Linked DNA regions of Nothobranchius furzeri. The protein of the gene in region 1 purifies or fractionates together with the protein of each later gene. This does not show direct contact. Links are inferred from orthologs where the notes say so. Each region holds a gene or a part of one and is shown on either strand. Other genes may lie near its edges.

Region 1 (7,949 bases):
CTGCAGGAGGTATGCTGCAGAGAGAAGTGCTTTGTTCAAAGTCTTGGGGACTGCTGGTGTGACGTGTTCTGTTTGAGGACCTTTTTGGAGTGGAGGACTGGCGTAGGGTGAGGGCACTGCTGGGCTTCCTGCAAATAGAGGTGTACCAGAGACTGTAACCCAGGAAATTCATTGTGTTGATGTTGCTGTGGCAACAATATGCCTTACTGGCATCCAACCTGCCAATTTTAAAGAAGAAGAAGCAAAGGAAGGCCCAGACCTGTGCTGATGCCCCAATCACTCCCTTGTTTTAGCCTGAGATGGGTTTGATTTTTTGTTTGCTAACTCTGATGTCCTCCTAAACCAACACATTCTCTCACCCGAAGTGTCAACAAATGACGCTGGGTGGCCAAGTGTTTGTTTCCGACGCCCGCGGTAAAACGCACATTTCGCCGACATCTAACCTCTAACCTCTTGCTACTTAACCTTCCCCTCACCCCCAACCTAACCTTAACCCTGTTGCTCATTCCAAACTTCTCGTTAACCGTGTTGGAGAGGGGCGTTAAAACTAGAAACAAAGTTTTTAAGGCACAAGAGGGTAAAGGTCAGAATTTGGTGAAATCCCCATTTTACCTCGGCAGTCGGAAAACAACGCTCTGGCACAGCGCGTCGCCTCCCGACGCAATGGGACTCCCAACGCGTCGAACACAAACGCTTAGTCACCCAGCTTCATTTGTCAATGCTTCAGGTGTGAGAATGTGTTGCCTAAACTCAATGCGGATGTGAATGTTCAGAGAGAGTCGTGAGTCTGTGGATACTCGGATCTGTGCTAGCGCCCTCCTCTCATGAGTGTGTGTGTGTGTGTGTACAACTTTTTAAAAATGTTGCTCTTTTATTAAGCAATTCTCACCTTCTCCTCAAACTGTTTGCTCCAAACAGGTGTCACAAAATAAAGGATGCCCTCCTTGGCTCCAGGCAGCAGCATATTATTGAAAAGCAGGGCGATCAGAACGAAGTACGGGAAAACTGCAGTGAAGTACACAACCTACAAATAACAAGGAAACAAAAGTCGACAATTGGTGTGTGAGCTGTCAGTGTAGACAAGAATAATCCTGAGACCGATACTGTATACTGTTATAACCTTCCCAGTTGATATGGCTCCTTTGAATATACACAAATAAACGATGACCCAGGCTAAAAGAATTCCTTCTTCCAAACAATTCCCAGCGAAGACCCCCCGTTTCCTCAATGCCTCTGGTCTTCTGCAGGAGCTTGTAACTGGAAATATTAGGAAGAATGGACACCATTACCACTTACATCAAATAAGCATATTGAGAGAAGCCAGTTGAAGTGTCTCGGCATCTGGTTAGGATGCCTCTAGGTGCCTCCCTGGTGAGGTTTTCCAGGCATGTCCAACAAGGAGGAGACAATGGAAGACCCAGGACACACTGGAGTGACTGTTTTTTGGCTGGCCAGGGAACACCTTGGGATTCCCCCAGAGGAACTGGCCCAAGTGGCTGGGGAGAGGGAAGTCTGAGCCTCTCTGCTTACGCTGCTGTCCCCGAGATCAGACCCCGGATGAGCAAAGGAAAATGAATGGAGAAACTTTGGGTAAAATCATCTTCAGGTTATTCCTTTTATTGGTGACTTTTGATGGCTGGACTCTTGTTTGATTTGGTCAGAGTTATGTTTGTTGACTTCAGAGCCACTCACCTTTTAGCAGGGGGCAGATTTTAGCAATAAAGTGCACCGGTCCTAAATGATACTGTCCAACAGCGAACTCCATAAAGAACAGAGGAATACCACACAGGAACACCATGATGAGGTAAGGGACAATAAAGGCTCCTAAACACTGAGAAAGTTTCACCCTTGAGTTGCCTTTCAAATTTTCCAACATTGTCTTTTCTCCCTTAACTGTAAATTCATGATTTGTTAAGCATTTTTTTCCAGCGTTGATCAGTAAAAATACTGAAAAAACACTTCCTTCTGTTTTTAAACCAAGAATTAATAACTGGCAGATTTAACTTTTTCTTGCATTTTAAAAACTTGCCCACTTTTGTGGACGTTGTTTTTATTTTTAAAAAAGTGTCTTAATCAGTAAGAGGCTAAGGAAAACCTTTTCATTTTTCTTCAGTCTGTTTTTCACCAAATGCATGTACTCATGTTTCATCTTTTCTTTCCAGAATGCACTATTTCCAATTATACTGAGTTTGAAAACTTAGATGGAAAACAAGCTCTGAAATAGTTTTCAATAGATTTCACAGGACATTGTATTTGTCCACATATTTGCATTTCTATTGTTTATGTTTGTTTGCTACCTTTTTGTATTTGTATATATTTAGGCTATTGGGAACCATAATGGGTTTTATGTGTTGCAACAGGTCAAGACACCAGAGCGTGGTACCCAAGTTTTCCTAAACCCCCAGAAAACATTGAAGGATGGTTGCAGCTTTTTAATTTTTTCATTATTGAGATGCACGAACAGAAGGTTTATGTTGCTTTCAGTCTGTCTGACTACGATTCCTCTGATCTTTGACAGTCTCACCTTCACTGCTGTTGTAGCAGAGGTAAGAAAAACCTCCAGACGCTTCCCAGTCCAACCGCGTATCCCACCGAGGCCAGGATGAACTCCATCTGCCCCCTCCAGGTGGGTCTCTGACCCTCTGGCTCTGTGATGCTGTCAGGAATCACTTTGCCATCTAAAGGTTGCAAAACACAATCTTTGTCTTCAGAAAGTGACTTTGGGTTCTCAGATCCCACCTCCATTGCAGACTATTATAAGAAGATGTTCTTATAATAAATGGATCAATTGGTTAGAGGTGATCTGTCAATCATACTGAGCTTTAGGGGAAAGGTTGCTAATCTGACCATCTTTAATAGCCACTGACCACAGTCAGGTGCAAAACCTCTTTGATTTAGTCTGACTCAGTCTGGTGGAACATCTGCAACGGAGCGCATTCTTTCCAAAATAAAAGCCTGGGGTCACAGTCATTTAAATCAAAATACAAAAGGTCCAATGAATCTGTCTGTGAAGTCAAATAAAAAAAAGACAGTTTAGGCTCTCGTGTTTTTATCCGGTGTACACTGCAAAAAGTAAGAATAACAAAAAGGCCAAAATTTAACTTGATAGGATAAGGGTGAGTTTAATCAACATTTCTTTACTTTATTTAGCTCACAAGACCTTAAAAACAAGCGTGTAGGAAGAGAAAACACAATGAAAACAGGAACTGTTCTCTTTAATTATGAAGATAAAACTTATTATGTTTGTTTGTATGTTTGTGCTGCCAGACTGAATTACAATTGTCACGTACATGCTTTGTTTTTCAGAGCACACAGCAATTTGGAATCGCTGCTAGTGTAGTATAATCACTCCGCCAGTAGATGGCGCGAGTACCGCTCCGTTTTGGCTTTTTTTGTCCTGCTTCCAGGTGCGTTTGAGCCTTTCCGCTTTCCGTACTGGAATGTGTCCGCTGCATTACGTCACCAGCGGTGGGAAGGCTGCTGCTCAGTCTCTCAGCTGCAGCCGCGGTTCGTTTTGTTGTGTCGAGATTTTAAGGAATTCCAGTTTTCTTCTCCGTGTAACAAAGAGCAGGGAGGTTTTTGAAAACTGGAAGCTCGAAGCTTCAGAATGAGAGGTTTCTAGAAGAACCCCCCCCTCCCCCCCAAAAAAGTTACAATAAACAAATCACGACGACGCTCTTGGAGAATAGATGGAGGAGCCAGAAGGTGAGACGTGTTTTAGCTTTTACTTGACTTTATGATAAAATGTTCTGTTTTATATCTTAGTTCAGTCACTGGGAGGAATTTTAAACACTATATATATATATATATATATATATATATATATATATATATATATATATATATATATAATTTTGGTCTAGGTTAATGAAGACTGATGTGTGTTTTCAGATAATTGTTTCTGTGCGGGTTGTGGAGGAAAAATCCAAGACTCGTTTCACATGAAGGTCCTCCAGGATACCTGGCACAACGCCTGCTTCCAGTAAGTAATCTCGGGTTAGAAGCTTTTGGCACGGGTCTGGCCTGACCAGACTTGACTTAGTATTTTAAAAAATAATACATGTTGGCTTTTATTATTATTAGTGTGGACGAGCACAGAACATTCAGTCTTTGTGCATCCCATCTACCCAGGATACAGCTCGTAACCCCTGCAGCAGACAGCTTTCTGCGCTATTTTCCGTTTATTTGCCTGCTGGATGGTCTGAGAGAACTTTGTCCCTGTGAGCTGAGGTTTAATGATTTCCATAGAGGAGACGTTCTCAGGTCACTGCTCCACGCACAGCTGCATGCTAGATTTCTGCTTAGTTTACCTTTATTTTAATCACACTTTAATGTTTCCAACATCAAATGTTTTCCCTAATTGACTGGATTTTAGTTACACACCCGTATAGATTTTGTGACTTTGGGGTTCTTGCCAACTGTTTTAGTGATCATTCTATTATTTATTGCTTTTGGAAAATAACTATTCCACATACACCTTCGAAGATTATTAAAATTCGTGATTTGCATGTTTTTAATACTGATCACTATTTGCAGGAGTTAAGATCGCTAAACTGGGACAGATTGTCTTTAATACCAGATGTTGACAATGCCTGGAAATGTTTTCGTTTTGAGTTTCTGCAGGTTCTTGATTAACATGCTCCTTGGGTCAGTGTAAAAGTTAAGGGCAGTCATTTGTCTTGGGTCTCTCAAGAATTAATTGCTTTTTTAAAGAAGTGTGATAGAGCCTGGAAACTAGCTAAACGCACTAATCTTCCTGATCATTGGTCTGAATATAAAAAAACTAAGAAACATTTGTACTACACAGACAAGAAATGCTAAGGCTAATTATTACAAAAACTATTTACATAAGGACTTTAACAATCCTATGCATTTCTGGAATAAAATAAATGAATTACGTGGGAAGACTAAAGCTAAAACTAATAATATGAAAATTAATGGTAGCGTTTCTAGTGATCCGGATGTAATTGCTGAGGCCTTTAGTAAACATTGTGCTTTATCTCCTTTACCTAACTCTTCAGTTCAACTGGGTTCTTACACTTTGCCTCATCGCTGCTCAAGCCGTTTTTCCTTTTCTGAAATTCACCCAAATGAGGTTTTGAAAGTGTTAAAGACTCTTTCATCAGGCAATTCAGCTGGTCCCGATGGTATTGAAGGTCGATTTTTTTTAGAATTGCTGCTGATGCTCTGGCCCTTCCTTTGTCAATTATTTTTAATCTTTCTATCAACTCGTGTTCTGTCCTGATAGATTGGAAATGTACTAAAATCATTCCACTGCATAAAGGGAATGATACTTTTGAACTTAATAATTACAGACTTATTGCGACAGTTAACACAGTGGTAAAAGTTTTAGAAAAATTTGTATTTAATCAATTATCAAATTATTTGGATACTAATAATCTATTATCTCAATGCCAATCAGGATTTAGAAAATATTTCTTTACAACAACTGCCTTGCTTAAATTTACCAATGACATTTATTCAGGTTTTGATATTAATTTAATTGCAGGAGCTATCTTTCTTGATTTAACAAAAGCCTTTGATTTAGTTGACCATTATTTGCTTTTAGACAACTTGTTTGCCATTGGACTCTCAAGGTTATCATTATTGTGATTTAACTCTTTTCTTCCTAATCAATCTCAATTTGTCTCTTTTAATAGGTTTGAATCAAATCCGCGAGGTGTCTTTAGGGGTGTTCCGCAAGGCTCTTCATTGGGGCCATTATTATTATTATAATCTATTTTTATTAATGATTTGCCACTGTGTTGTACCTCTTGTTCTTTTCACATGTACGCTGATGATACTGTATTATACTGCTCTAAGCCGAGTAAAGTGGAAACACAGGAAATTCTTCTGTCTAATTTTAACATAGTGCAGAACTGGTTAGTCCAAAATAAACTTATTTTAGATAAATCTAAATCCTACTCCATTCTTTTTAGTAGAAGTGCTATTAAATCTGGTGCTGATTGGACTCTCAAACTACATTTTATAGATTCCTCTCTTGTATACACATCTGACAAAATAAAATATTTAGGTGTTTGGTTGAAGCCGGAGCCGTCCTTCAGATATCATATTCAAACGATTTGTCACAAGGTTAACCGGTGCTTAAGAACATTATATACATCTATCAATTGTTTTGAACTGTATTCATTTTGATTTTCCATCTTATTTGAAAGTCTTGTTAGTACCTATCAACGCTTTGTATTTTACCCGTTTTAGTGAGCATCCCTCATTTGTTATACCTCGGGTTAAAAAAGAAGTTGGGAGATATGCCTTCTGTGTTAAAGCTCCTCGGGACTGGAATACATTACCTGCTAACTTAAGATCTATTTCATCTTTTCGTTTATTTTGTAATTTCATTTATGAGCATGTGAAGCCAACTTGTAATTGTATTGCCTATTGTGTTTAATATCGTAGCTGCACTCAATTTATGTTGTTTTTCTATTATTAAATTTTTATTTGTTAATGATACAAGTATGCCTACAGATACATGGGGTAAGCCACAGCAAGTGTTATTATTATTTTTATTTATTTATTTTCTCTCTTAGTTTGTTATGGTTTAACGACTTTGCCTTCTTATTCTTTACTTGTTGTATGGTAGGAGGACCTGCTCGAAAACGAGATGCCACATCTCAAGCAGTTTATCCTCCTGGGAAGAAAAATATAAGATAAATAAATAAATACATGTAACAAGAGTAATTACAAAATTCAGTTTTCAGATGATGGTTTAATTTATCAAGCATAAAGAGCTATCCAAACTGATTGGGCTCTTTGTTAACAGTAATTGTTCCACTTGGTAGATTGTGAATTAACTGAGATTAACCGCTACTTGGAAAGCCCGAGCCACACCCAGGCCTGGAAAATAAGGAAATCTTCACGAAGGAGGCTAAAAGATTTCAAAAAGCAACTCATCACTTCTAAAAAAGCAGACCTCACCTGATTCTGGTTAAGGCCAGAGGTCATGATTCTATTCTACCATAAGAAAGATGAGGAGAGGTAAAAAGAATACAAGACCATCACATATTTACCAGAAAAAAAAAGGTTGATTCTCCAAGATTTTTGAGAAGATAAAAGTTTAGGGTTATTTTTTTTCCACTTAGAGCGGGTTTATTTCCCTTAATAACAAACTAATCCTTTTAAAATTAAAACAAATATGAATATAAATGTAGCGGAATATAGATGGTATATTCTTTACACTTTTATTACGTCCAGAGATTAACCTATGGACTGGGCCCTTATAATCAGAAGAGGTTGTGTTTTCTGATCTGACAAATAATATCAAAAGTGGGAAAAAATGTGAGGGGCGAATCTTCCACATACTCAGATGCTTTTCCACAGACGTTTACTAGTTTACACTCAAGTAAAAGTAAATGGGTTTAAAATGGGCGATAAATTGATTTAATGAATTAATATGACAATTTTGTTGCGGGCGATTACAAAAAATGTATGTAATAATGCCTTTTTGGCCCCCGGGAGCTTCCGTAGCGTTAGTTTTACATAACCATGACAACAACGTCACAGCACGTACACGAAACAACAACAGCAAGTGACTCCATGGCCACTGGTGAAAGTGGGGGAAGTTTGTTCCTAAGAAAGGAATTGAATCATCCGTTGTTTGGAACTGGGTTTGCTGCAACGGATGTGGAGCATAGCACGTTTATTCCAATAGGGTGTTCATTTATTCTTTATTCATCTCAGAAATGAGGGTTCCATTTGTCTTGCTTGTGATCAAATAAAAAACAAATTTGGCTTTAAGGTGCCTTCCATTTGTACTTATTGCTATTCTTAATAATTGAGGGGAAGTGAGAATCTGAAAAAAGTCGTAAATCAAAAAAATTACAAATTAAATCAGAATTTTTAGGCTGTATCGCCCAGCCCTGTTTAAAGAAATTCACAGGCAGAGTGATGTTGATGCGCAAAATTAATTTAAAAAAATTCTTGCGATGTTT
Region 2 (7,184 bases), on another chromosome or scaffold:
CCCACACTGTCGATTTAAGCTATTCTGAGCGTGGCATGGTTGTTGGTGCCGGTCTGAGTATTTCACAATCTGCTCAGTTACTGGGATTTTCACCCACAACCATTTCTAGGGTTTACAAAGAATGGCGTGAAAAGGGAAAAACATCCATATGCGGCAGTCCTGTTAGCTAAAATGCCTTGTTGATGCTAGAGGTCACAGGAGAACGGGCCGACTGATTCAAGCTGATAGAAGAGCCTAACCTCGTTACAACCGAGGAATGCAGCAAAGCATTTGTGAAGCTTCAACACGCACAACCTTGAGGCGGATGGGCTACAACAGCAGAAGACCCCACCGGGTACCACTCATCTCCACTACAAATAGGAAAAAGAGGCTACAGCTTGCACCAGCTCACCTAAACCGGACATTTGAAGACTGGAAAAATGTTGCCTGGCCTGACGAGTCTCCATTTCTGTTGAGACATTCAGATGGTAGTCAGAATTTGGCGTAGACAGAATGAGAACATGGATCCATCATGCCTTGTTACCACTGTGCAGGCTGGTGGTGGTGGTGTCATGGTGTGGGGGATGTTTTATTGGCACACTTTAGGCCCCTTAGTGCCAACTGGGCGTTGTTTAAATGCCACGGGCTACCTGAGCATTGTTTCTGACCGTGTCCATCCCTTCATGACCACCATGTACCCATCCTCTGATGGCTACTTCCAGCATCTTTGGGATGCGGTGGAACGGGAGCTTCGTGCCCTGGATGTTCACCCCACACATCTCCAACTGCAAGATGCTATCCTATCAATGTGGGCCAACATTCCTAAAGAATGCTTTCAGCACCTTGTTGAGTCATCGCCACGTAGAATTAAGGCAGTTCTGAAGGCCAAAGGGGGTCAAACACCGTATTAGTGTGGTGTTCCTAATAATCCTTTAGGGGAGGGCCATTCCCATCTGTACCGGGTCGGCCCGGGCCGGGTAGCGTAGGTTGTTTACATATCTGGGTGGCCTGGTATTTTTCCGGGCCAACCAAGGCTCATTCTCAGCCCTCTTCTCGAGGGGGTCTGCTTCAGGCCGACCAGGGCCAACACACCCACTGCTGACAGCAAATTCACACCTTCCATTAGAGCAAGCCTCTGATTGGTGGGTAGAATCAGCCCACATGGGCTTAAGGCAAGGATGTGTGGAATCAACCGGGCCAGGCTGGGGCCGGCTGGGGCTACCCGGCCCGGGCCGACCCGGTACAGATGGCAATGGCCCATAAGTCGCTGGTACCAGTAAGCTCAGGCTGGCTTGGGGAACTTTCAAATGTCCGACCATGACAGGGGCCTGTCTGTGATGCCTTCCCAGCTTCCCTGCCGGCTCTGAGACACTGCTTTGACGTTAAGGCACTCATGCTCCGTCCTTGTTATTTCCACCACCACCATAGCTTTTCGGTCTTCTTTGGAGGCCTTAGACCAGAAGAGGAATGCCTCACCACTTCCGAGGCCTTCCCGCCCTCCTGGACTCTGCCAACCACCTCACGGCGTTCCAACCAGCTGATTGCTGTATCAACCTCTTCCGGGTCTTGCCACTTCCTCCTTGTTCGTATCTGGGGGCCAGCTGCTCTCACCAGTTGGGTCTGCGGACTCCCTCAGCTCCAGCACCAGCCGGGCCTTTTCCTGCTTACATCCCAAACTTATAGATCTATTTAATACTAATTTGATAAACTGTTAAACATCACACCTTTCTGAGTTACTTAGAAAGTCTAAAACACACCAGGTCATGTTTCATCAGAGTCCATTTGTGGCACCTTCCTACCGGGTGGGTGGGCTATATTATAGATCTACCAAATACAAAATCCCACCCAAGGATTACACCAGGTAAATTGAGAGCGTCTGCCAGAGATCAAAGGAATCAGCCATTAACCACCGCACCGGGGTTTATTGAAAATTCTAATTAAAACATCATTTAAAAAAACCAGGTTAGGACAGTCACTATAAACGGTTGTCAGAACTGGGCCGGAGAGTCTGCAGCCTTATCTGGACGCTGCGGGGCAGATTCCTCCTCCTTGGGGACGCTTGTCTGCCGCGCGGGTTTCCTCTTCCCTGATAGCTCGCCTCCTCCTTCAAGACGCGCGTCTGCCGCACCGCCGTTTCCCTCGATCGGCCGCTTCCTCCTGCAGATCAGTCACTGGCTCGGCCGCGTCACCGCGCCACGCTGTCGTCCTCCTCTGTCGCGGGTCCACCTGTCAGTGAATTTAACGGCAGTCACTGCTCGATCACACACCGCGGGTCACACCTTGTCACAGGGCCGCTACTCACACGCCAGGGCAAAGGAATACCCTGCCCACATCTCCATGAAGCCTCGTCACAGACGATCGGTGTCCTTTCACCCGGCGATTCTCTGCTTTCTGCCACCGTCTCCACCAAAAAACAGACGCTCCTAATCTGCCACCGGTGCAGATAATTGCTCCGGTCCGGATGTCATCTGTCCAAGCTCATCAAAGTAAAATCACACACCCTCCCAGTTTCCTGGGTTCCCCAAAATAAAAGCATTCCATGCACTAAACTAAATAAAAAAGAATACACACTAAAAACACACCACACTAGAAGGAAAACCACAATAAAACAGACTTTGCCCGTATGACACATTCATTGTCTCATTTAACATCACTGTGAATCACCATTCATAATCATTTACCTTTCATCATCATTGATGATAGAAAAATAGAAATAAATTGATTTCTACAAACTATAATTTTTGCTTCTGTGTCAAATGATTACAAAGGTGTGGTTTCCCTGAACTATGCAAAAGACCTGGTTTTATCTTAAATGTCAAAAGATCAATAATAATGATAAATCATATTTATATGGAATATCACATCTTTTTGATCATTCATTAAACGTAACCACTTACTATCGTTACCCCTAGATTGTGCAGTGTCTCTGTATATGTCTGTGTGTGTAGACCTCCACTGTACTTTCTAGTTGTAATACTCGTGCTTGACCAAACTTGAGATGTTTACTTTTGGTATGAGAGGTTGTCATGACTACCCTGTGTTGTTTGTGTTTATTGCAGTACCACAAAACCCTATGTTGCTTGTACTGATTTGTGGTGTGTTTATAAATAAGCTCATGTGTGGTGGTTTAACTTTGGTTTGGCAAGATAAGGGCCCCGGAAAGGCATCTTGCATAGGGCCCTCACAAAGCTAAGAACAGCTCTAGTCTTGTCCAACAAACCAGGATGATCCTGTTTCTGTTCCTGCAGACTGGAGGGGAGCGGAGCTAAGCTACACAGAGGCGTTGGCTTTATGTCCTGTTTGTTTCAGTCGAGAGAGAGCCGTGTTGTTCTCCAACAGAGCTGCTGCAAAACTGCACCAGGTAGGATATTGCTAAAACTCTTCTAAGGAGCTAGCCCAAGGCTCCGCCCCCTCTGGTTGGCTCATGGGACCCTGAACGGAGCTATATAAGTTTTTATTGACTCCACTTTGCCGTATGCCAGGGGTCAGCAACCTTCTCCCATCAGAGAGCCATTGTTACCCATTTCCCACAGTAAGCCACAGCAGCCGCAGCGTTGTGGGTGGGCTTACCGAGCCTGGGCCCACCCACCTGCACTCAGGCCCTCCGTAAGCTGCTGTAGGCAAGGTAGCTTTACTTATAGAGCACATTTCAAACACTGGGAAATCCAAAGTGCTTTACAGTTATCATGAAATGGCACAACAACAAACACGAGAACACAAATTAAAAATATATACAGACAAAATTATAATTTAGAGCTAAAAGGAAAAGACAGAATTAAGAGGGTATCCGCGGGTCCTTAAAAAGTCTTAAATTTCCTTTTCCAAATTTAAGGCCTTGAAAATCCTTAAAAATGACAAATAATCCTTAAATACAGTTTCCAAAGGTCTTAAATTACCAAAGACCCAATGAACTAGATTATTTTATTTCTATGACATTTTCGTGAATTTCTATTTAGTCTTCAGCATTTTTTGTGTATGATGTTGGCGTAAGCGGAACCGTACACATTCAGTTGGTTGTGAAAAGGGACTATTTTTAGATGAGCACATTAGCTGGTTAAGCTAGTGGGAGCTTGCGCCATGGAGAAGTGCAAGTTTAATGGTAAATGGATGGTTAATCCCACGTTCGCGACGTGGTTAGCACCGGTTCCAGGCAATAGCTGGAAATTATAGCTTAAATTTAATTTAAAAAATAGCTTAAATTTGGATCCGGATCGAAAGGAGTCAGTTGAGGTGGTTTGGGCATCTGGTCAGGATGCCTCCTGGACACCTCCCTGGGGAGGTGTTTCGGGCATGTCCTGCTGGCAGGAGGCCCCCAGGTCGACCCAGGACACGTTGGAGAGGTTATTTCACCAATCTGGTCCGGGAACGCCTTGGAGTCCTGCCGGAGGAACTGGTGGAGGTGGCCGGGGAGAGCACGATCTGGTGCTCCCTAGTTGGTATGCTGCCCCCGTGACCCTGACCTGGATAAGCGGAGGAAGACGACAACGAGCTTAAATTTGGTCTAAGTGGCCTTAAAAAAGGTCTTAAAAAGTCTTAAATTTGGCTCCCTTAAACCTGCAGATACCCTGATTAAGGGTGAGCAATGACATCACAGATTACAGAGGAGACGACGCAGCAGAAGAAACCATTCATGTAAAGGCTGATGAGGGTTTTAGTTGTGTTTTAAACAACACTAGGGCTGGGGCAGATCTGAGGTCATGGGGCAGCTGATTCCATATGTGAGCAGCATAGAAACTAAATGCATCTCCTCCCTGTTTGGTTCTGACCCGAGGTTCTACCAGCTGATCATTTCCTCTCAGAGCCCTGCTGGGTGTTTATACAGGAACGAGATCAGACATGTATTCTGGTCCCATGCCATTGAGTGATTTATAAACTAGTAGGAGCACTTTGGTCTATTCTGTAGTTCACTGGTAACCAGTGTAGGGATCTAAGAACAGGAGTGATGTGCTTAGTTCTCTTAGGCCTAGTCCACACGTAGCCGGGGTTTTTAAAAAACGAATATCCGCCCCTCCAAAAACTTGCATCCACACCACCACGTTTAAAAAACAAACTCTGTCCACACGTACCCGGATAAATACGTTGTTAAGGACATGCCAGACCTGTAGGCGGCAGTACTTCCCCCGTTCTTAACCTCGTCCTTCGTCTGTGGTCTTCCGCAAGGAGCAGTAATTCCGCTTGCAAAAACAAACAAGCAGAAAGCGCTTGGACAATTGATGGATCGGGTAGTGACAGAGCGCAGCTCTGAGGGCATCCATGCTGTCGGCTAGTGTAAACACAGGCCGCACACGTGATGTCAGCATTTTTTTGTCGCGGAAAGTGACGTTGCGGACCTTAAAACTCCGGTTTTGTCCGTCCACACGCAGACACCCAAAACGGAGAAAACGCAGATCTTCACTTTGGCCGGAGTTTTTTAAAAGATCCGTTTTCGTGTGAAAAAACTCCGTTTTCGTGTGGATGACAGGCCAAAACGTAGAAAACTATCTACGTTTTGGCAGATCCCCGGCTACGTGTGGACAGGGCCTCAGTTCTTGTTGAGACTCTAGCAGCAGCGTTCTGAACAAGCTGCAGTTGCTCCACAGCTTTTTTGGGACGACCAGTTACGAGACCATTGCAGTAGTCCAGCCCACTAGAAATAAAAGCATGAATGATTTTCTCTAAGTCTGGTCTGGACACGAGACCTCTGACTCTCGATGTTTGATGAAGGTGATAAACGCTGATTTAGTTATAGCCTTAATGTGTCCAGAGAAGCTCAGGTCCGAGTCAATGACAACACCAAGATTTCTAACCTGGGTGTTTTACTTTAACCAATAACAAAAGATGACAGCAACCAAAAGCTGCCACTCATGTACGTCAAAGTTATCTTTTAACAGAAGATAATTAATAAAACTATTTGTATAAAATGAATCCAGAAGTTGTAGCCTGTCTGTACCTACAATACTTTGATATTTTTCATCGTTAGTGATTTAAATAGTTGAGCAAGTGCCGATTTGTTTTACCACATCACATGTTTCTATTTGAACCGTGTTTAAACTGTTCAGAATACAAATCCAGGCTCGTTGGATTGTTGTGTAACGCTGGAAACAGCCAACAAGGGTATTTGTCCAGAGAAATGTCAGAGGTCAAATAGACAGTCGGGTGTCCTGCAGCGTTCCTCGGCTAGGAACGTTGTGTTCTTCCCTGTACCTAAATCATTCCATGCTGAACCATCAGCACCATCCAGAAGGTAGCCATTACAAGTTCCTCCTCCTGACTCCCTAATCTTAGCTGCACCTCCAAGGTCCATGCAGAAGACGAGACTTTTACTCCTTTTAATAAAATGATTCTTAGTTTGGTCTAAAAAAAAAGATTTCTTTCAATCCACATGTTTACAATCGTATTCTCTGTTATCTACAATCAATGTGCTATCTAATGTGATTTAAAGATTAATTCATTAATCAACATACATGTTTATTATTTCATGACCTATTTCAGATCTTAAATACACTAAGTGAGTCTACTTGATGATTTAATAATGATTAATGATCAGTTACATTCACATAATAATATCAGTGTATTAATAAATGAATGTTTAACAGATTTATTTCACATTAAGTGGAACCAGCCTCTTCTGAGTGGCTGATCGTCGAGGTAAACACCTAGACACACATCTCAGATCTGGTAGGTCAAAGTTTATAAACAACCAATTCATTCAAAGTGAATCACTTCCTACGTTCCCAGTTCCAGCCAGAGCTTTCAGTTCATCCAAAGCTTACAGCTCGTGCTAAATGACCATGCTATGGGGAACCAACCAGACCTTTCAGCGCAGTGATTTTAGCGGCTCAAAGAACCATCATGATTAAACTTTGCACTGAACCAAACTTTACATTTTGGATCGTTTTCAACATAGTTATGTTGAAAACGATCCGACCCATTAGTTTTTTCCTTCATTTACAGTGACGGAGATAAAGGCGCATGGCTCTTGTTTGCTGTTTGTTTGCAGCAGTCTTCATAAGAAGAAAGAGTAGTTAAATGAAAGGGTTCGTTTTGACCAGATATTTACTGTATTTGACTGTTTATTTTGATGGAGATAGAATAGAAAGAATTACCCCAACGCGTGCAGATGCGCTGACATTTAAATTGTAACACACATCGCGGAGGTAGCTAAATCAATCAAGAAAAGATTCCCATCAGAACATCCGAGCTGGACACTGCTCTTCACAGCAAGC
Region 3 (7,697 bases), on another chromosome or scaffold:
TGTTTAGCTTCTCTGTCAGTGACCTCTTTAGGCTGAATCCTGACACCATGTTTGTGTTTCTTTGCACCTTTTTGTCAGTTCTGTTTTTGGCTGTTTTCCTCGTGCTGCACTACGACCGCCATACTAATTAGTTCTGTACAAAAGGAATGTAAATAAAGGTGTAATTCTGCTTTAAATCATCAATATAAAGCTTTGTACCCCTAAATGTGTGTTCTTGTGTGTTGTTCTTGTGATTTCTGGTACAGATGTTATCCTGAAGTAGGTCAACTGTTTGTTTCTGCTTTTCTGGTGTTGCCATAGAAACCTGGCAGATGGGAAAAGGCTCAATTAGTCATAGACTTGAAAGATAAAGGTTTTCCTGCAGACATGTTTGTCCACAGAACGTGTTGAGGCATATTTAAAGCTGCAAGTAAAGTGAGAATGTGGTTGTGGAGATTCCCAGCTGTCCTCTCCAGAAATACACCCTAAAAAAGCATGTGATTTCTCGCCTTCTTGTGCGACTGTTGTGGCCTGAGGCGATGCGCTGTGCTGCATTCTGGTCACAGTGTGAGCCTCACAAGCTGCATGCAGCACCAGAGCAGCGCTCCAGCCTGCTGGGGTCCAGCAGCGTGGAGGCCAGAGGCAGGATGAAACAAGCTGCAAAGCAAAGAGATCCAGTCTGTCGTCCAGCTTTTATAAAAACCACCTTGATGGCAAGAATCTACTTGACATGAATGTCAGGAATTCAGATTTACATTAAGCTGGAGTTCTGTTAATCCCAACGGCTTATATTCAAAGCGTTTGCTGATTTTTCTGTAAGATCTCAGATATTCTAGTTGTAAATTTGCAGAGGCGATTATAAGCTTTTGATTTAATCCCTAAACATCTCAGAAGGGGAAGTAATGGGCTGTGTTAAATGTCCCTCTTTCCCAGTCCTCCCCTCCATCCCCTAAGTCAGCTGGGAGGGAACCGTGTTTTGTTCCACGTTCCCTGCAGAGTTGCCAAGGTTGTTCAAGTTGGAATTTTCTTTCTTTCGACGGCTCGGTGCTAAACAAATACCATGGGAAAGAACGTTCTAGCGTGGATTATCATTTCCTGCCTGCTTTGTTCAGGTAAGATGAGGTGTTTTATTTATTTGGGTTCAGAAACTTTTAAACTGATCTGTGGACTAAAGGATCCATAATGAGCTGCAACTTCAGAGGGAAGTACTTTAGATTATTTTAGCATGTTGTGGATTAAAATCTGAACACCATAACATGTTTGGTTATGAGTCATTTTGCTACTGAACAGGCTTGATCTGAACAGTGAAAAGTTGTTTTATTGCATCTCTGACTGGCTTAGCCATACCAATCCTTGCTCACGAGTCCCCGTGTGCCTCAGTGTCAGGTGAAGGTTGCTCCCTCATTCTCAAGCCCTCCAGGGTGGTGGTGGGGTTTGGGGAGTCGGTGTCGGTCAGCTGTGAAGCTACACGCCCGGTTCGGGTCCTGGGCTGGGAATCGGCCATCGGAACGCCACACACACAGGAGGACCAGTCTGTCCAGTGGAAAGTGGACAGTCTTATCGACTGGATCGAGGAACCCATCTGCTATGGGGTGTTTTTCAAAGCTCCGAGACAGTGTGAGGAGAAACTCAACCTCGTTCTCTATAGTGAGTCAGTCCCTCTCATTTTTAAATTTCATGACAGAGCTGAATGTTTGAGCTGAACTTTTGATCCCCTTCATTTCAGAATCTCCCGACAGTGTTTCCATCAGGTTGGTGAACCACACCGGCCCCATGATGGAGGGGAAGGAGTACCAGCTCCTCTGTGAGGTTCAGAACGTTGCTCCTGTTCAGTATCTCACCCTGAGGTGGTACAGAGGTCAGACAGAGGTGTACAAACACTCCTTCTCTGACCTCACATCTTCCTCTCCTGTCCAAGTGTCTTCTACTCTTGTCATCACACCAACCAAAGCTGAGAACGAGGCAGAGTATAAGTGTGTAGCAGAACTGGAGCTTGGACCAGAAGGACCTCAACCACCTCCAACAGTGTCTTCAGAACCTCTCACTGCCTATGTCCTCTGTGAGTTATGAAGCTACTTTCACTCCTAAAATGTCCCAATAATGAAACGTAAAGTCTGTCATTCTTTTTTTTTTTTAGTTCCCCCAACTTTTTTCAGTCCTGAAACAGAAGTTTTAGAACTTACCGAGGGTGATGGGATCACCCTAAACTGCACAGCTGCAGGAAACCCTGCTCCTGCCTACAGCTGGCAATCCTCCCATCCCATAGAGGAGCGGGTGAAGGAGGAAGCAGTCATCACCTCCTCCTCCCTTCTCCCTGGGACATACACCTGTGCTGCCTCAAACACGCTGGAAAAGAAGAGCAAACAGTTCATTGTCAAAGCAAAGACCAAAGGTAAAGGGGAAGTATGAGGAACTACATCTGCAAGTAAAACTCTGCATCCTAATTTGTTTTCTGTTGTTCAGGTGTTTAAGGCCCACTAACAGGACTTGAATCAGCTGGAAGAATTTCACTGAGCAGGTTTTATTGCTGCTGCCTCATGAGATGGAAGCATTCAGTAATCAGTGGATGTTTTGATGTATTCTGTTATCATACAGAGTTAGATCTCACAAAGAAGACAAATGAAGATGTTTAGCAAACGCCATTTATTATGTGAAGGTTGATTTTTGTCGTAGTCTACTGTTGTTGTTTTATGTAATAAAATTTCCCTTATTATATATGTACTAGAATATTTTTAATGATCTAATAAGTAAAGAAAATCATAATTTGACAAAGTATAACTACCCTTGATACGCCAATGACTAACAATGTGAAGTTACTGTAAATATGAACTGTTTCTAAATGTTCTTATCTTTATAAATAAAGTTAAATAAACAAAAAATTCTTTTTATGGTTTGATTTTTAAACGTGTATTTTGATAGTTATTAGTGCCAGTTCTGAGTAATGTAAATAAATAAACAAAATTTCCGTACTTGTGAAAAATACCTCCCACCAAAAGATTATGGCTTCTTTAAAATGTAAATTTATACTTTCTGAAGGTTAGTTAATGAAAAAAATATTCAAAATTATTCTATAAATACATTTTATGTTCGGTTACTGCAAAACATTTTGGAATTACATTTAGGTTTTCAAGGCGACGTTGTCAAATTCCTTTGCAACACCAGAGGTCGCTGTTGTTCATTGTCCGGATTTGATTAGATCTCGTTGCGTCACATGATCACTCTCGCGAGAGGAGAATGCATCGCACTAGCTAAGACGTCCAGGTGGGAATCGGCTTTTAGCTCCTTTTGGGTATCCTGATGCTTTAAAATTTGATTACACTATTGCTGCGTTTTCTTTCAGGCATGCCGGAGAAAGATCCGTGTCAAAAACAGGCATGTGCTATTCAAAAGTGTCTGCAAGGTACATTAAATGTAGATGAAAATGCTGCTAGACAGCGGGCGAACCCCACAGTCACATAACTCCGTTCCACTCCTGCAGCCAACAACTACTCGGAGAGTTTGTGTGAGAATGTGATCCGAGAGATGCGGCGGTGCTGTGAAGCTCAGGCCGGGAAATCCATCTGCTGCTCCGGGTTTAGGGAGTCCAAACCAACGGGGAACAAGAGCAACGCATAAAAACATCTCAATCAAATGTCAGTGTGTTTGGCATTTACCGTTGGAATGTATTCATTATTACATGTATCATAATAATTATCATAAAAGTACACACTAAACTTAACACTGGACGTGTAAACGTGTAAAGCTTTAAGATAACACTCCTCCCTGGCAGTGTGATTAACTACAACCAGGTTATGTCCACCGCCCTCTGATCGTGTTAAAATGATCGAATCTTTGCATGCCAGTGAGCTGAAGATCACGTGAGACCATGGACGTAATTTTGGGGGGGGGGGGGGGGGGGGTCAGGGGGACATGTCCCCCCCACTTTTTCCAAAGTCAAGTTTTGACCCCTGCACTTTTTACCATCCAAAAACAATTTTACGCTATATTAAATTCACACTGGTTGAGCTCTAGGACCAAGTGGAAAACAACTGTTTGTGTTGAAGCCTGTTTCCCATTAGAGCATACTGTAAAGATACCCCCCCCCCCCCCCACACACACACACACCCGTGTCCCCCCCACTTCTAAAGTGAAAATTACGTCCATGCGTGAGACTGTTATAAATATGCTTGCTTACAGAAACAAATACATTAAAAGACTGATAGTAGACATCTTGACTGTGATTCTGGTGGCAGACCCAAACTAAACTCCTGATATTTATATTAAAGTGGTCCCAGCTCTCCTCGTGTTTATTCTGCTCAGAGCTCTGGGTTAATGTAAACGTGACGATTCACGATCACCAGGTAAAACATTTAACTGATCTATATTTTTGTCTATTTGTGTGTGTTTTCATGTCCCTGTTCAGGTCTGTAAAAATAGGTTTTTTTATCATCATGCTTGTGAGTAATGCACATATAGAACACACTGTAAGTATTTTCAGAAACATTTAATTTCTAAAAACAATCTCATGTGTGGCAATAATATGTTCCATATTACACCATCCTAACACCAACTTTCATCCTTCAGTCATTACTTCTTTAGAAGCTTCCTAAACAGATTGATAAAGAGAGCAATTATTCTATTATTATTACACATACTATTTTAAAACTGACCATTGCTAACAAAATACTAAAATTCATTGCAAAAGTCATCCATTAATAAATTATTGATCACGTCGAGGTTCCATCTTCACAGTGCAAACATTGAGATTACCAGTTTCAAACTCTTGAAATCATTTAGATTTATTCTAATTGAATGTGTCCAACAAAATGCTTACTGGCACTTATAAGAATGTCCATGTTGGGTGGATGAAGGGCTGAAAGCAAACGAAACAAGAGAAAATTTAACAATTCCAGAGATGAGCTGATTCTGGATTTAAGGGCCAACATGCAGATTTCTTTTTCAACCCTGACCTGCTGAGCTGATACTACTATTTTGGGCTGTTTATGTTTAATGAAAAATCAATCAGATTTTTGGTATTTGGATGATCACTGGTTAAGACGCCATACTGAATACTGGCTTGTTTGGATCTCCAGTCAGCTTTCAGGGTCAGCTCTAATTATTGTTTCTTGAGAAGCGTTTGCTAGTTTATATCTAAACATTTACTTGTGGTTTTTCCATCCAAAGAATAACAAAAAATAAAATGAAAAAAAAAAAAAAAAAAAAAGCTGAACACTATACCATCATCAAGACCTCTCAGCCTCTGTTCTTGGTCCAGTAAAGAAGGTAAGATGTCTCGCTGAGAAAACAGCCTCAGTCTGTGGATGTTTGACAAGGGGGAAAAGTCCAAGAAGATAGTTTTATTCGGTAGAGAAAAACAGTTTGCTTTTTTAAGTTTTACAGAAATGTTTAGATTAGCTGAAAAATAATTGTGTAAGATACTTGATATTTTATAGTACTTTCAGTTTAGCATACAATAATAAGTTAATAAATAAAAGAAAGTCAAAGCACAAATGTGGAGAAAAAGAAGTCACGTCTTGTAAAGAAACTACAAAAATAGTTGTGATGTAAATACTTTTATAATCTGTACAACAGACTAACATTCTGACTAATCTGCTGCTAACCAGGTTTAACTATATGCAATAATATGAGGATAAGGATGGATTGGTACACGATCAGACATTATGGTTTTTATGTAGGCTACACAAATGGTATCTATATAGTGGAAACGATATTTCGGTTGTTTAGAAATCTGAGTAACTACAGTAAAAATACGAAGAAAGAAATGAAGGAAATCTGTTCAGTTCACTTTTGTAACTCATGGTGTTGTGCCGGAAAAAGCCCCTCTGTTCGTATAGGCATTTGTGTCAAACAGACTTTGTTCGAAACCGAACTTTAACTCATACATCTTTACTTGTTTATTAACGGGGTGCGTTTGTGAAAAACTTGGTTTTTCTAGTAAGTTTAACATACGGTCGCAGGCACATACGAGTGCATTTTTTACCACAACACCTGCGTCATACGTGCCTTTTACGTCATGACGTTTAGGCGTGTAGCGGAAGCTTGCAGCAGCGAATCTTTCTAGAATTTTGTAGCAGCATTTGGCTAACTGTCGCTGAGACAGTCCAGCTCCTTCCCTTCTGATAAGACTACAGTCTAATGCGCCGTTGGTAGTTAACACATCTTTCGGAGACTTTGGAAAGCGTCAGAGTGTTGTTGAATTTGTTTTTCCGAGAGTTTTAATTGAAATTATCGAACTCTTAAAACAAGCTAGGTTCTGGTTTACAGGATGTCCAGGATAGATTACAGCGTGTGGGATCACATTGAGGTCTCGGACGATGAAGATGATACCCACCCAAACATTGACACACCCAGCCTCTTCAGATGGAGACACCAGGTACCTTTTTGATTTATAACGTGACTGAGTTTTGATTTTCTTTTAACTTCGGACTGGTACTTTGGTTAGCTGGCGTCCTAGACTCAGTTTGGTGTTGCAAACAACATTCTCCCTATGCTAATTCCTAGCAAACCTGTTTATGTAGCTGTAGTGAATTACTAAGCCTACAAAACTTGTAACAAAGTGTATTGTAAAAGTTTTGTACCTCCAGTTGTGATTGGCATCATCCCATTTCAGGCACGTGTGGATCGAATGGAAGAGTTCCAGAAAAAAGGAGAAGACATCAACAAGAGCCTGAAAGAATGTCGGCGCAAGCTGACTGAGACGCAAAAGAAACTGCAAGAGCTAAATGTGTCGGGTGAGGCCAAAGCAGAGCTGAGCAAAGTCCAGGCTGAGGAGAAGAAATTGAAAAAGGAGGAGAGAGATTGGGAGAGGAAGTTGGATGAATACAACAGAGAGGAGAAGAAGATGCCGTGGAACGTGGACACACTCAGCAGAGATGGTTTCAGCAAGGTGACTAGGATCAGGCAACAGCTTACTGCGAAATAGAAAGTATTGGTTTGCATCCACTGGTATCAATGTTGGCAGACCTGTCAATTTATAATCAATAGTTGTCTCAGCGGTTTGATGGCAATATTTTTTTCCCCCAATTTCATGTTTAAAATCAGTCTAGTTTGATGCTCAGCATGAATGTTGGTCATTTTTTTGTTGGGAGTAGCTTGTATACAATCTCCTGAAAATACAAACTAAAATCATCCTTTAATTGTAAATAAACATAATCAAGGTTTATATGAAGTGTGTTATTTTTGAATATTTAGAGCTTATATACAACATTCTAACATGCCGTTAACTTACAGAACGATGCAATAAAATGCATTTGAATGCAGTCGTCATCTATTAACGGTGTTTTGTTTGTCTTCATTAGAGCATTGTTAACGTCAAACCAGACCCTTCTGAAGAGACAGAAGAGGAGAAGGAGCAAAAACATAAAACTTTTGTGGAGAAGAACGAAAAGCAGCTCAAACATTTTGGTAAGCCCGCCTGACAACCATGATTAAAATGAGCAAATCAGTAGGACAGTAAAAATAGAGATGCTGATTTGTCGCTGTGGTAACCTCAGGCATGCTGCGACGCTGGGATGACAGCCAGAAGTACCTCTCTGACAATCCTCATCTTGTATGTGAAGAAACTGCCAACTACCTTGTCATCATGTGTATTGACCTTGAAGTTGAGGAGGTAAACAGCTTAAAAGAAATCTCGTGCTACTATTGTATGTCTTACATGGTCACTGTCTGATTAGAACATGAGCCTCTGTGCCTCTTCGTTTTGCAGAAACATGCTCTGA

Evidence for each region.
Region 2: the proteins of limk2 (region 1) and ttc1 purify together in Homo sapiens (affinity purification with mass spectrometry; 3 studies listed by BioGRID and IntAct, counting the BioPlex papers as one, with this or other methods). This does not show direct contact. The link is inferred for Nothobranchius furzeri from reciprocal best matches to the Homo sapiens genes LIMK2 and TTC1.
Region 3: the proteins of limk2 (region 1) and cdc37 purify together in Homo sapiens (affinity purification with mass spectrometry; 3 studies listed by BioGRID and IntAct, with this or other methods). This does not show direct contact. The link is inferred for Nothobranchius furzeri from reciprocal best matches to the Homo sapiens genes LIMK2 and CDC37.

The regions. Positions count from the first base shown.
Region 1 is NC_091757.1:45,913,443-45,921,391, forward strand, and holds the start of limk2 (LIM domain kinase 2), read left to right. Parts: upstream 1-3,522; 5' UTR 3,523-3,689; coding exon 3,690-3,705; intron 3,706-3,891; coding exon 3,892-3,982; intron 3,983-7,949. UniProt on the Homo sapiens protein: Serine/threonine-protein kinase that plays an essential role in the regulation of actin filament dynamics. Acts downstream of several Rho family GTPase signal transduction pathways.
Region 2 is NC_091750.1:27,430,584-27,437,767, forward strand, and holds part of ttc1 (tetratricopeptide repeat protein 1), read left to right. Parts: intron 1-3,227; coding exon 3,228-3,340; intron 3,341-7,184.
Region 3 is NC_091745.1:3,426,881-3,434,577, forward strand, and holds the start of cdc37 (hsp90 co-chaperone Cdc37), read left to right. Parts: upstream 1-3,594; 5' UTR 3,595-3,609; coding exon 3,610-3,611; exon of another isoform or gene 3,612-3,617; intron 3,618-4,381; exon of another isoform or gene 4,382-4,442; intron 4,443-6,001; exon of another isoform or gene 6,002-6,243; coding exon 6,244-6,352; intron 6,353-6,589; coding exon 6,590-6,865; intron 6,866-7,277; coding exon 7,278-7,383; intron 7,384-7,472; coding exon 7,473-7,588; intron 7,589-7,684; coding exon 7,685-7,697. Other genes in the region: uncharacterized protein, read left to right, coding at 246-258, 365-409, 456-656, 913-985, 1,035-1,091, 1,360-1,626, 1,706-2,038, 2,117-2,371 and 1 more; cmc4 (cx9C motif-containing protein 4), read left to right, coding at 3,322-3,379, 3,458-3,594. UniProt on the Homo sapiens protein: Co-chaperone that binds to numerous kinases and promotes their interaction with the Hsp90 complex, resulting in stabilization and promotion of their activity. Inhibits HSP90AA1 ATPase activity.